Linked DNA regions of Astyanax mexicanus. The protein of the gene in region 1 purifies or fractionates together with the protein of each later gene. This does not show direct contact. Links are inferred from orthologs where the notes say so. Each region holds a gene or a part of one and is shown on either strand. Other genes may lie near its edges.

Region 1 (7,874 bases):
TGTCCACACCACTCTTATACAGGTAGAAATCAATAGGGTGCCGCCAGTAGGGGGCAGTGCAGGTGAAGAGGACAGCCTCTCCAGCTGAATACGCAGAGAAGGGGGACTGCATGGTCAGGGTGGGCGCAGGAAGTTTATCTGCAGAATAAAATGTAAGGTCACTGATTAGAGTTCAGTCCTGTTAAGACTGTTAACAAAGTGAGTCTTTCATACTGTATATTATCTTTATATCTTCAGAACTCCAGTGCTAATTGTTGGGATATAAGCTTCCTTTCCTTTCTAGCAACATAAGCCTCATAGCTCCAGTGCTAATTGGATCATAGATTCAGCACTAATTAGTGGGATATAAGCATCTATTGCTTGTCTCTCACCTGTGCACTCCACTCCTGCATCTTCGTTGTGTAAACACACTCCATCGTTGGTGGTGCGCTCGCACAGGTCCAGTGTGAACTCGTCCCCTGAGCACCCGACGTTCCTCCACCACACCTCCCCGATGGATCGGCTGTAGTGTGCCCCCGGCCGTGTGGTGAAGGCGAAGCCACAGTCCAGCTCTCTGCACACCACTGCTGCATCCCGCAGATCCCACCCCTGAGAACACACTGTGCCCCACCGCTCACCTATAAACACCTCCACACGGCCAGAGCAGCGGGACCCCTCCACACTGCCCAGCCTCACCCGCAACTCATCTAGAGACAGAGACAGAGATAGAGAGAGAGAGAGCGCGAGAGAGGGAGAAAGAGACAGAGAGAGGTTACTACACAATCCAGCATTGAAGATCACACTAATAACAGATTACACTAATTCTAGAGTTTGAAGTGGAAAGAACTCTGGTGTAAAATTGACTTTGGGTGTAGTAAAACATGATAAAGAGTACTAACCTCTGTTGAATAGCACACCTCCGCTCTCCTACACCTTTCAGCGATCCAGTAATTTTGTACGGTTTCTCCAAACATGCTTTAGAATGGATGATATGGGGCATATTTTTAGGTTAGGTTATGCTATGGGTTGTGCACAGTGGTTTTAATAAGCTTCTTGCGCACTTTCAAAGTTATTAATGCCTCCTTTAAAATGTCAGAGCTCTCCGGATTCTAACAATAAGGTGTGGAGCTACTTTGAGCCTGAATAACGGTGTAAAAAGTGATTTATCTGCAGGGGCAAAATATGTTTGGAGAAACTGCACAAAATTACTGGATCTCAGAAAGCTGTGGGAGAGTGGAGGTGGACTATTTTCATGTTTTACTACAAAGCACCTGATCTTTTCTGTATAGCTGCAACAGAACTGCTGTAGGAGAGCAGGCAGGTTCTGCATCACATGTTCACTACACAAAGAATCTACTGGAGAACAGTGATGGAAAGGGAAACTGGAACAGCATTTGGTTTCATATCTCTGACCTGTCCTCTATTAGTGCTGTTGTGTTGGTTGTGTACAGTGATCAACTTACCGAACCCCAGAACGTTCCAGACAGAGACTTGTCCGACTGTTCAAAAAGAAAAAAGAAGATACAAACTGTTATGCATCAAAATAAATATTGGACTAGTATATTCTTCAAATTAATAATATACTTATTAATCTCCAAGAATATCATGAACATTACATAGATATTTTTAGCAACACCAGAAATTCATGCATTAGATGACAGTGTACAAAGAACTACCAGAAGGTACGGTGTGTATAAAAACAGTGTTGTATTAATAAACCAACTGTGCACTTTCAAAGATCTCATTGCCTTATTTTATTTTATTTTTACCCCCAAAAAATTAAGAAAAGCAACAAGAGATTAACAATTTAGAACTGACAGTATCTATTTCAAATTGAAAGATCTCTTGCAAGGCTTTGTGTATCCTCTTCCAGTAATTTAATACTGGGGCAGTGCCAAAAAATATATGGTAATGGATAGCATTTAGATTTCCATAGTTTCTCCAGCACACTGGGGGGTTTTTATCATACAATTGGGTATAAAACTTCATTGTTTCATTTTTGTTCCATTTACTTTGGTGAGAAAGATACTGATCTGTTTTTCAGTCTTTAGTTTTTCATTTCTCCCTTTCACTAACAAAATAAAAAAAAGTGATCTAAATTATTTTTAATGATTTTTCAATTTGTGTATCTTGTAACAGTAATCTGATAGTATAAAGGAACTTACTTTTGTTACAAAATGTAAAAATCTAAAAATTAAGAAAGATTTTTTATTTTCCCTGAAATTCTAAAGTTATATATATATATATAAACTTCTTCTATACTACACTATATGGTAAAAATGAAAAAGATAAGTAAATAAGTAAGTTATGTTAGCGAAACGCAGAAATGAAAAACTAAAGATAGGAAAACCAGATCAGTTTCTTCTAAAAAATTAAATAATGAAGTTTTATACCAATTGTTAATGAAAATTTTAGCCTGAAATGGTATGAAAATTAAACTGATAAATTTTACACTGACCAATAACCTGTATTACCACACAAAGTTTTAAAGATATTTAGAGCTGAGAAATCTCCTATAAAACAGAAGATCTCTGAGTCTGAGATAAAAACAGGAGCAGTGTTAAATGATCGAATTTGATGAAGGAGAGCAGGCTGAGTTAACGCTACTGACCCAGCAGAGCTGTGAGCAGCACAATCATCTCCATCTCTGATCCATAAATTAGCGGGTTTAAGGTGTGAAACCCACAGGACCGCAGAACTGACCGGTCCAAACCTCCAGCCCGGACCCGAACCTCGCCCCGATCTTCTCTAATAATACAACATCTCCGACCTTCCCGAGCTGCGGCATATTAGCTAGCTAGGTTAGCTAGCCAGCATGCTAAGCTCTGCTGCTCTGAAGAGATGCAGTGAAAGCTTAAGCTAAGCTAACCTAGCTAGCCTGTGTGCTAACTTTACCTCAGCTCTGAGGTAAAACAAAAACTCAAACAGCGAAAATATCGATTATTATCCCACAACACAAACTATCCGTCCCGCACAGCCTCCAGCAGCTCGGGGATATCAGATATAATCGATATTAAACCTGATTACAGGTGTAGTTAAATATTCTCACAGGCAGGTTTAGCGGCTAGCAAAACTAATCTGAGGGAAAAGCTCTAAAAAAAGCGCCTCAGTCTTAAAGCTGTACTCTCCCTCTAATCCACACCTGTGTGTGTGTGTGTGTGTGTGTGTGTGTGTGTGTGTGTGTGTGGGCATTGTGTTCCTAAAATACTTCCACGATATTTTAGGGTATTTTTGCTATAAAAATATTTTTGGCGATATGATTTTTACTAATTTACTAATTAATACTAATTTTTTACTTACATTATACTAATTAATTTTAAGAATATATTACTGGGAAAAAAATATTAAGAGAATTTTAGAGTTTTATACATTTGAAGCAAAAACATTAATACTAACTTTACCTTAACATTTTATTTTATATTTAAAAAAAAAATACTAAAATAGTGTAACAAAATGAAAAAAAAAAACATAAATAATGTAACAACAAACTAATTCAGTCACAGCTGAATTTTTAGTACTTGCATAAAAAAACGTTTTCATAATGTTAATAATTGTCTAGAAATGTGAGAAACGTTATAATTATGTTGCGATACAATTTTTTTTTGACATTTTAATGTCACATGTTACATAATAACCTTTCCAAAACCTTTTTAAAACGACCAGTAGGGTAAAGTGTGCCATATTGCAATATATCATGATTCAGTTATACTGTGATATCAGCTGTATTTTGTTTTGAAAGCAGTCTACTCTGTATTTGTTTTGCTTTTTAAGCTTTAAAAGTTTTTACTGTAAAATATATTAATCCTAACACACACCTTCTGTTTTGAAAGGGCTGCTGAATCTTACTCAGCCTGCAGGTGGCGCCAAAACACCAGCCTTTCAGCTTTCAGTCAGTAAAGCAGGTAAATGCGTATGAAACAAAAATAATTGGATTACAAATAACTAAAGAAAATGCCACAATAATAATAATAATAATAATAATAATAATAATAATTTTTATCCTCCATATTTATATTGTTATGTCTGTTAGACCCTACACCAAAAAGTTAGGTTTATTAGTGAAGGCTGTGGTTCTACATGGATTAATGACAACTAAAACAACTATTTCAACGTCTGACTGGTTCTTTGCCTTATTATAATTTTTTTTACTAATAAAAAGTAAACAAACAAAATAAATAATTCTAGTATAATGTGGTGGAACTTGGACACATAACATATATTGAACTTTCTCCGACCCAATCCCAGAATGTTCTGACTTAGGCTCAGAAACTTTTACGTAAATACAGAATATACACTCATAAATACTCCACTGTAATTGTAAAGTGCATTTACACTTTTCTTACTTTATGTTTATTTGGATATAGTATTCTAATGTTATCTAGAGGTTATTACAGGTAGACACTCACTGGTCACTGACTTTATGTTTATTTGGGTTTAGTGTTATAATGTTATGTAGAGTTAATTACAAGTAGACACTCTCACTGGTCACTGACTTTATGTTTATTTGGGTTCAGTATTCTAGTGTTATATAAAGTTAATTACAGGAAGACACTCTAACTGACCACTGACTTTATGTTTATTTGCGTTTAGTATCATAATGTTATATAGAGTTAGGTACAGGTAGATACTCTTACTGATCACTTAATTTATTCTTGTTTGGGTTTATTGTTATTGTTTTATTGTTTTATATGTTATATAAAAATAATTACAGGTAGACACTCACTGACCACTGACTTGATGTTTATTTGGGTTTATTATAATGTTATATAGAGTTAATTACAGGTAGACACTCTCACTGACCAGTGACTTTATTTATACATCACTAGCAGGATTTTTAAGTTAATTGAAGGTAAGTGGATTATCACAGTGTTAGCCACTGTGAGACTGGAAGTGTGTGAGGGGTGTGTGTGAGTGTGTAAGTAATCCCGTTGCTCTGTTTAGGGAGGGTGAGTGTCCGTACCCGGAGCGCGCAGGTCGGTCATGGGAAGCGCGTGCACGCGCACTACCAGCACAATAAACCCAACAGGTGTGTGTATGGGTGTGTGTGAGTGTGTGTGTGTATGGGAGTGTGTGTGTTTGTAGGCAGCCCCGGGTCCAGCAGTGGGGTCAGCGGGGCGCTGTGGGAGCTGTAGCCGGACTTGGAGCCTCACAGCCCGGCCAACTGCCCCTAGGAGCCCCGGCAGGTTAGCGCGGATAGTTGGCGGAGACTCCTTTAGCAGCACCGGGAAGAAGACGGCGAACATGCCGGTCAGAAACGGCTCCATGATGGAAATACATGAGGAATATGTGAAGATAAAGGCTCATTACGGAGGGTATGTTTACTTTTAACTTGTTTAAAAAGCTTAAGTTTGCTTTTTATTTCTAACTCTCCAGTCCACCTTAAATGGTGCAGCATAACACTATAACCCCCGAAGCGTCTGAACGTAAACTGATGCACTATTTAAGGTGGAACGGGGAGTTCCAAAAAAAAAAAGTTTTCAACTTTTTTTTTTTAGCTAAATTTAATATAACGTAATAGTGTTAATTACTGACTGTAGATTAAAATAGACAGGTTGTAATATTTATTTGAACCAGTTAAATAAGCTCATCTGTAGTTTACTGGATAAACTGAACACTTCTTTTCTGAACTCTACAGCTAGCCTGCTAACTCTGTTATCTTTTCTTCCTCCCTTCCCTTTTAAAAGCTGAACTTATCTCCTCTTATCTTCTTGAGAAACACTTCATTTAAGCTCCAGCTCTCTCTGCTTGCTTTACTCAGCCTTAGGCCCAGTGCCTGCCTAATGAAACAGAACCGGTTGCCAGGTCTGTCTCCTTCCAGTTCAGAGGCTTAACTGTTAATTTATTTATTTACACCTTCAGAGCTCTCCTGTAATGATCTGAGCAACTTTTCCTGAAGTTAGTCATTAAGACAGATTGTTACCTAACTCCATCACTGGTCATGTGGGGGAGCCTGTCATGGAGAAATTTCACAGGGGTGTGTTATTTAATAGGGCAATGCCATACATATCTAATCACTATAATTTTTTACTTTTTATTTCCTGTCATGGAGGCGTCCACCCTGTTATGACAAACTGCGGGATAGACGATTTTAGTTAAAATTGCTAGAGCTGAAACCGAGCTGTTAAACTGTTCATAGTGACCTTGTTTTGTTTTAAAGATAATTTTGATCTCAAAAATAGTTTATAAAAATTACCATGATATGTAGGGAGACAATATGAGAGTTATTAAGTGAAATAAATCTTATTAATTGCTGAACATGCAGCAGCAAGTGATTTCAGTACCTTGAAAATAAACAGTGTGAATGTTGTGATGCCACTGAGGTCAAATGCCTAAATAATTAAGAACATGTTTAAATAAAATAAGAAATACGTTATTTAACGACCTAAAAGAATTACTGTTTCAGCTCCACCCATTTTAAGTTAAAGAAGTGTTGCAGCATAGACTTCTTCATGGATGTAGTAGAGAGGTGAGTTAATTAGTGTATCTGCTTGTTTTGTTTGTAAAGTGGAGAGACATCACTGAAATATGGCGTTGGAAGAGGAACTGGGTTTGGGAGCTGAGGGCTAAAAGAGAAGTGCAGAGATAAGGGTTGAGTAGGAGTTCAGGGTTGAGGAGCAGTTCAAGAATGAGGAGATAATGGTTGAGGAACTCATGTTTGAAAAACTCAGTGGTGTGGAGGAGCAAAGGGGTTAGGAGCTCATTAAGGAGCTTATAGTTTAGGAGCCCAGGCCTCAGTTGGAGCTCAGGATTTGGAACTCAATATTAAAGGGGAGATCAGGATTGAATAAGAGCTCAGTGTTGAAGTGAACCTCAGGGTTGAGAAGCTCAGGGATGAGGAGGAGATCAGGGTAAAGGAGCTCAGGAGGGAAGAGCTCAGGGTTGAAAACTGAAAAATGAAGTGCTTAGCGTTAAAGAGGAGATCAGGGATGAGAAAGAAGGAGCTTAGGAGTGAGGAGCTTGGAAATGAGAAACTCAGGGTTGAGGAGTTGCTGAGGTTTGAGGAGATGCTCATGGCAGAGTAAGAGCTCAGGGTTAAGGAGATGCTCAGGGTTGAGGAGATGCTCAGGGTTAAGGAGGTGCTCAGGGTTGAGGAGATGCTCAGGGTTGAGGAGGTGCTCAGGGTTAACCAGGGTCTCAGCATTGAGGAGGAGCTCAGTGTTCAGGAACAGCTTAGGATTGAAGAAATCATGGGTGTGGAGGAGCTCAGGCTTCAGGAGGAGCTCAGGAGATAAAAACTGCGTGTGTGTGTGTGCCTGTGTGTTGCTGCCTCGTCTCACACACACTATAAGTCTGTCAGTTGCCTAGCAACCAGAACTGAACCCAGAAGATCCCAGAGAGTTCTCTCGCCTGTATATTTTGTCTAGTTGTGTGTGTTTAGTCTGTTTCACACTGTTAGACCGAGTTAAACCTATTTATTTAAACCAAGTTGATCAGAATTCAACTTTCAGAAGAGTGAAGTGAATCTAAATTAAAATGAGTTAAACCAAGCTAAACAGAGTTACGCTGAGTAAGAATTGAGTCACACTGAGTTAAAAGTTAAACTGAAATATTTATATTACCTTCTTCTTATATTTATCTTCACCTTCTTTACTTTTACTTTCTATACCTTGCTGAAACCACTGGCCAGTGATTGGAATCAAAGATGTTTGTAATAATAAAATAAAGTGCTCAGAGAGAGAAAGCACAAGGTGGGGTGTTTCTGATAAAGTGGCCAGGTGTGTGTAAAAGACTGTGTTGTTTGTCATATTCCAGTCTGATGTAAATTCCTGTGGAGCTGTAAAGTGTGTAATGATTAATCTAGGTGGGGGGGGGGAGGGGGAGGGCTGGTTTATGATATGATAGTAAAGTTATAAATACTCAGGAAATTCCTGGTTTGAGGCCGCAGAAAGGCCTCA
Region 2 (7,087 bases), on another chromosome or scaffold:
TATATCACTAGTGATGCCCCAACACAACAGGAGGGTGAAGACTAACACAAGCTTCCTCCGATACACGTGAAGTCAGCCACCGCTTCTTTTCAAGCTGCTGCTGATGCAGCATTGCCGAGCAGCATCAGAGCGCACTCGGAGGAAAGCACAGCGACTCGGTTCTGATACATCAGCTCAAAGAGCCCTGTGTTGTGGACATCACCCTAGGAGTGATGTGGGGAGAGAGCGCCATCTACCCACCCGGAGGGAGCAGGGCCAATTGTGCTCCCTCTAATTGATGGTAAAGCTGCATAAAGGTGGTTTGAACCTGCGACCTCCTGCTTATAGTGGCAGCGCTTTAAACCGCTGGACCACTAGGTGCCCGCGAAAAAAATACTTTAAGAAAAATGAAGGTCAGTCAATCCTCAAGTGCAGTCACAAAGACCATCAAAAACATTATGATGGAACTGGCTCTCATCAGGACTGCCCCAGGAAAATGAGAGCAAGAGTCACCTCTTTTGTACAGGATAAGTTTATCAGAGTTACCAGCTTCAGAAACGAGCATTTTGGTTTGTTTAACACTTTTCAATTATTACATGGTTCCTTGTGTGTTCCTTCATAGTCTGGATTACTTTAGTATTCATTTATAATGTAGGAAACACTTTACTGTACCAAATATACAACCATGACAAACTGCCAACTAATTAACCAAAAACATACCTAATTGTTGAAGTCTTTCAAGAGGAACTCTGTCTGACTGGCTGTCCTCATCCAGGAGATCATCAGCAGTCCAGGGCTCCTCAGCTGAAATCACATTTTAATTAATTAATTAATTTTTTAAACAACCAGTTCAGAGTGTGAAACCTGTTTATAATGCTTATTTGTGGTTTCTGGAGCTCTTCACACACTCACCAGTGCTCGCACAGACTTCTGGAAGTGGTGTGGTGACAGGAGGTGTTGTATCTTTCACTTGCTGACAGGAATCTATATAAAACATACAGAAAAGTATTATTCATCAGAGTTAGGTTTAGGGGAACACATGTTACATGTTATATGACCAACTCTAGTAAAGCTGAACAGATCATTTACAGCAAAAATAAACATTAAACCAGAAAATTACTTACCATCAGTTTTGTGTTTCTTAAAGCAACCCAGTGAACAGCTACGATCAAAAAAAGAACACAAACGTTATTATTTGGTTTCAGAGCAGCCAATGCAGAAACAGCTTCTTCCCTCACGTCATCAGGCATCTAAACAGCGCTTAGTCCACCATCCACCTTGCACTTCACTTTAGTTACTTTTCATTTACACTGCATCCACCAACATTGGATTCTCACATATGGATTCCCACATAACCACAGATATAGTAGGCATACATGTGTACACAGTTCCTATATTTATGTCCTGTCTGTTTAAGTCAAAAGTAGACAAAAGGACTTATGGGGCACAGTTTGGGACAAGTCCTTAGCACCTTTAATTTTCTCTTATACCTGCTATTATTTATTGTCTGTATTAATAGTTGTTATTATAGATATGTATTGAGTCACATACATATATCAGCCAAAAGTTTGGACACACCTTCTTATTCAATGTTTTCTTTATTTATTTCTTTATTTAATTTATTTCCTACATTGTAGCTTAATATTAAAGACAGGAAAACAATTAATGGGCACTAGGGGTGGGCAATATTATATCGTATACAATATATCGTGACACAGAAATATCATGATATTAAAAATCCATATTGTGATAATAGGGCTGTTCTGTCTTAAAAGTAGTCTATTATTTACTGTGAAGCTTTAAGTATATTTATTGTATAATTGTTTTAGTTAGCAGTTTATCATCACTGTCCTATGAAAAACACTTATCTCCATTTTTGTTCATTTTTAGTTTACTACATAATTTGAACAGACAAACTGTCCCTTACACTGTGCCAAAATTTCTTAATGCATAGACCAATAGAAACTCTTCAAAATGACCTTAAATAAACTCTTTTTACATTGACTTCCACTGAAAGTTTACAAGGTTTTTTCTGTTTTGGAGATCAGAGTTTTTCATTGGACAGCGACAATATGCATGCACTAAATATTCTGCAATATTTTTTGCTGCATTATATTACTTTATGCTATATTATTTATTTTGCCACATTATGATTATTCTGTTATACTATTATACTATATTCCTGAAATGAATGAATTATTTTAGTTTTCCTATATCGCCAAGTATATCGTTATCGCAAAAATACCCTGAAATATCGTGATATTATTTTAGAGCCATATCGCGCACCCCTAATGGGCACATATGGAATTATGTAGTAAACAGTAAAAAAAAAAAAAAATTGTCCTCCACCTGACCAATCCCCTGATCTAAACCTGATGAACTGAGATGGTGATTTGAGGTGATTTAATTGGGATGAGCTGGAGCTTCACAGCGTTAAGGAAAAGCAGCAACTATTGTTCAGCACCTCCAGGAACTCCTTCCTTTAAGATACTGAGAAAACTTTTTCAGGTGACTCTCCCTCATGAAGACACTGAGATTAAAATACCAAGAGTGTGCAGATCTGTCCTCTAAGATGAATGAGCTACTAAGAATAATCTAAAGTATAAAACATTTTCTGGTTTATTAAACACTTTGTTTACAGAATAATTCAGCATGTGTTCCTGTATAGCTTTAAAATATACTTCAATATTAAATTTACAATGTAAAAGATTAATAAGAAGAAAGAAAACAAAACACACTGAATGAGAAAAAGAGGTGTGTCCTAACTGTTGGGCTGGTACAGTATGGGAGTGTATAACTGTGGTATACTCACTATCTGATCCTGCAGGCTGGGCATCTGTATTTAGGGAGATTTTCACTGCAGATTCCGCACAGCTGCATCACTCCACAACACGCTGCTCAACATACACACACACACACACAGTTTACACCGGAACAGCGCCATTATCATATAATATAACACTGTACATTAAATATTACACTGTTAATACAGCCATATACTCACCCACTTCTCAAATAACTTAAAAAAAGGAGGTTAAATGACTTGAAGTAACTTCAGCCTCTTAAAACACCTCTTCTCTCACTAGCAATGTGGAAACACCACTGAAAAGGGGAGGAGGCACAGCATTTCAAAATAAAAGTTTACAGAAAAAAAATATTTCAGCAAGACCTGACATAAAAGGAAACTATTTTGATATGCCCCTAAAGTCCTATCATAATTATTTAATTTAAATTAAATGTATTACTAGTAAAGACATCTAAAAAAAACCCTAAAAACTAAGAACAAATAGTGAATAGCGTTTATATATATATATATATATATATATATATATATATATATATATATATATATATATATATATATATATATATATATATATATATATAAACATTTTTCAGATTTTTGATGTTTTATCATTTTTCTTGCTTAGGATGAAAGGATGATTTAATCCTTTATTCTTTTATATTAATCAATTATATTTATTTCTTACAACATGTTATCGAATTATTTAACAAATTTTACATATGTTTTAATTTAATTTAGCAATTTATTTATTACATTAGGGACTGGCCTAAGCTTCTGTTGCCCCAGCTGAAAATTAAGTACTGATTTCGTTTCTTTTATTATATCTGTATATGCAATGTACACAGTACTAGTCAAACGTTTCTCATTTTATGTTTTTATTTATTTTTCTATAAGTTATTTTCTACCTTGTAGATTACTAGTTAAGACATCAAAACTCTGTAGCAACACATATTATGAAATTAGTTTTTTTTACTTTAATTTATTTATATTATATTTTTTGTATTGTTATAGATTTTTTTGCTTGTTCAAAATGAATTTCACTTTTTGCCAAACTTGAAATATTTAATAATGTGATGCCTAAACATTAAATTATGTATTTTATGAATATGATATTTTTAATGAATTACGCTGTTAAATATTTAAAGTTAAAAGTGAGACACATATAATTCAATTATACAATAAAACAGTGTATATGTGAGCAGTGACTTTGAAACTCAGAGACTTTTATTTTGAAAAGAGCCCTGTGATCAGCTCCGGCTTCGCACTCGGCTCCGTCCCCTGTCCTTCCCCACGTGTTTCCAGGCTATTCAGTCCTTCACTCTGCTGGAGATCAGGCCGCCATGCTGAAGTCCCTGAGCCGTGCTGTGAGCGTCGCCGCTCGGCTTTCTACCAAAGCCCCGGCCGCCAGGGCCGCGCTGGCGAGCCCGGCCCTGTGCGCTCCCAGCTCGGCCTCCACTCGGCCTTTTACCCGCTCCATCTGGATGCTGTGCAGCAGTAACGGCGCGACCTCGGGCAGCAGGCCGAAGCTTCTGAGCACGGAGCGGGGGCTGCCGGCGGTGCCCTGCGGCTGCGGGGGTCTCCACACTGAAGGTAACCTGTCTAATTTATCTGAAGGGGGATTATCCGCTTATATAACGCCGTGTGTCTGGTTTCATCAGCCGGTTAAAGAGAGACACAGAGGAGCCTGGGGCCAAGGCTGGAGAGGGAGCTGACTTATTATCTAGTTTATCTTTCTATAACTAAGATTTACTGTAATACTATGAGATATATAAATATAGTAGCTATTATATAGTCTTAATTTTGGTTTGCCTCTCATAAATTGGACTATACTTCTTATTTTTTATACTTTAATTAGATCTAACTAATGTAATATACTTGTAGTATACAGAGACAGAGCGTGACTGTAAATGTTGGTGTATGAGTTTGACAGCTACCCAAGTTAAAAGGATATTATATCTGGTTATTTGGGTTAATTCTATAAAAAAACTAAATGTAAATGAATGGTACTGAATGTGTGATTCTACTTCCGTTCATTTCTACAAGGAATGTGACCTTGATGAAAGTCAGAGCAGGGTTGAGGTTGAGTACTGTAGGTTAACTTGGATGACCATCTCCATCCAGATCAAGAACTTTTGAGTGGAGGGCATATTTAAGGATCCAGTTTAAGGTGCTTTATAAAATTAGTAACTGTAAAAAGTACAGTAAGGTAAATAATTATTTGATCCCTTGCTGATTTTATAAGTTTTCCCACTGAAAAAGACATGAACGGCCATTATTTATTTTAGTCAGAACAAAAAATTTAAGGGTAAGTTATTTTTAACAGAGAAAGAAAGAATATCAAAAATAAAATCCAGAATTATAAATATAAATTGTATAATTTTTTATTGTATTTCGTAGGGAAAAATATTGCGTATGTTATCCCCTAAAAACCATTAAGAGTTTTGGCTCCTACAGACTAGTTAGACGCTTCTAATGAACTCCTAATTACCTGCATTAAAGACATTTTAAAAGCCACAAGCTGTACAACATTTTGCTGATTTCTAAAATGAAACAACCATGCAATAATTATTGCATATTAACTATTCTTTTCCAATTATTTACACATGTACATTCATGTACATGATTTGTTACATCAAAATATTATATAATATAATAATAATATAATATAAAATTATTAAAATAAAAAGGAGCTAATGTCAATGCTTCTTGTCATTTTTAATAGATAAGCATTTTTTTATGTGTGGTGGTGATCATCCCTCTCTTCTCTTCCAGGCGATAAAGCGTTTGCAGAATTCCTCTCAGATGAAATTAAAGAGGAGAAGAAGATCCAGAAAAGTGCAACTCTTCCCAAAATGTCTGGAGGATGGGAGCTCAAACTCAACGGCACAGAGGCGAAACTCATTCGCTCCCTTTCTGGAGAGAGGTACGATTTTTATGAACAATTATTAAAATCATGATTGCATATAAAATGTCATTCAGGAGATCATGTGGTTTGAATCCAGGTCATGCATCTTGCCATCAGCTGCAGGAGCCCTGAGAGAGTTTGTCTTGCTCTCTCTGGGTGGATAGATGGCGCTCTTTCCCCTCATCACTCCAAAGGGTGATGTTGATCAGCACAAGGTGTCTGTATGTGAGCTGATGTATCAGAACCTCCTAGTGCGCTGTGATGCTACTCAGTAATGCTGCATCAGTTAGAAAAGAGGCGGAGTCTGAATTCACATGTGTCGGAGGAGGCGTGTGCTAGTCTTCACCTTTCTTGTGCTGTGGCATCACTAATGATAGGGGATATACAGCTGAGTAGCAGCTGAATGGATTGGATATTTGGACTAGCCAAATTGGGATCTTAGACTTACAGATTTATTTTTCCCTTAGGGTGACCATCACATTCAACATTAACAACAGTATCCCCCCAACCCTGGAGGAAGAGGAGGAGCCAGGGCATGGACAGAAGGCAGAGGAAAAGGAGGTAAAGCATCCTTCCATTTTTCACACTCTAAACTTATTTACAAATGGTTACCAAATTCCAATATATATATATATATATATATATATATATATATATATATATATATATATATATATATATATATATATATATGTATTGGTAATGCATGAATGTATGTTGTTTTTCTGCCATTTACACCACATTCTTGCATGGTGTTTTAGGTCTTTCCCCAGTATACATGCACAGATTACAGCACCATCATTTCTGACTTGTGCACTAAAATAAACCCCTATGATTTTTAATGCAGTTAAAACTAGAAGCCACAAACAGAAGCATGAAATTATTGCAGCTTGTTTCTGGAAGAAATTTGCTTAATAATTAGATTTTCCATTCCACCTTAAATGAAAGAATAGTCACATTCTACCACCTTAAAGTATCTTTAAGGGTAGATGAGAAAACAGTAACAGCACACAGATGCGAACCAAAATAGTGGATATATATATATATATATATATACACACACACACATACATGCACACTAAAAAAGACACTATAAGAGCATTATTTTATTATTTTGATTGTATTTTTTATTTGTGTCTTATCTTATTCATTCTTTTTTTTGGAACGTCTGTGTACTGTGTATACGTGCTGCTACTGAATGTCGAGAATTTCTCCCAGCAGCTTTTATATTAAACACGGTTCTAACAAATCTTTAATTTGATGTTTTGCTTCTTTTGTTGTTTCTTGCTTGTCTTTTAGCCTGAAATCGTCTCGACACCTAACTTTGTTGTTGAAGTCCTGAAACAGGGGGCAAAAAATGCCCTGGTGTTCGACTGCCATTTCCCAGAAGATGAGGT

Evidence for each region. The genes of interacting proteins can lie anywhere in the genome.
Region 2: the proteins of prkcz (region 1) and complement component 1 Q subcomponent-binding protein, mitochondrial purify together in Homo sapiens (affinity purification with mass spectrometry; 5 studies listed by BioGRID and IntAct, with this or other methods). This does not show direct contact. The link is inferred for Astyanax mexicanus from reciprocal best matches to the Homo sapiens genes PRKCZ and C1QBP.

Annotation. Positions count from the first base shown.
Region 1 is NC_064419.1:7,968,972-7,976,845, forward strand, and holds the start of prkcz (protein kinase C zeta type), read left to right. Parts: upstream 1-4,774; 5' UTR 4,775-5,220; coding exon 5,221-5,291; intron 5,292-7,874. Other genes in the region: uncharacterized protein si:ch211-150o23.3, read right to left, coding at 1-138, 372-686, 1,443-1,478, 2,591-2,624. UniProt on the Homo sapiens protein: Calcium- and diacylglycerol-independent serine/threonine-protein kinase that functions in phosphatidylinositol 3-kinase (PI3K) pathway and mitogen-activated protein (MAP) kinase cascade, and is involved in NF-kappa-B activation, mitogenic signaling, cell proliferation, cell polarity, inflammatory response and maintenance of long-term potentiation (LTP).
Region 2 is NC_064408.1:12,096,439-12,103,525, forward strand, and holds the start of complement component 1 Q subcomponent-binding protein, mitochondrial, read left to right. Parts: upstream 1-4,055; 5' UTR 4,056-4,125; coding exon 4,126-4,375; intron 4,376-5,557; coding exon 5,558-5,708; intron 5,709-6,157; coding exon 6,158-6,251; intron 6,252-6,989; coding exon 6,990-7,085; intron 7,086-7,087. Other genes in the region: znhit3 (zinc finger HIT domain-containing protein 3), read right to left, coding at 700-783, 892-963, 1,104-1,141, 2,792-2,859.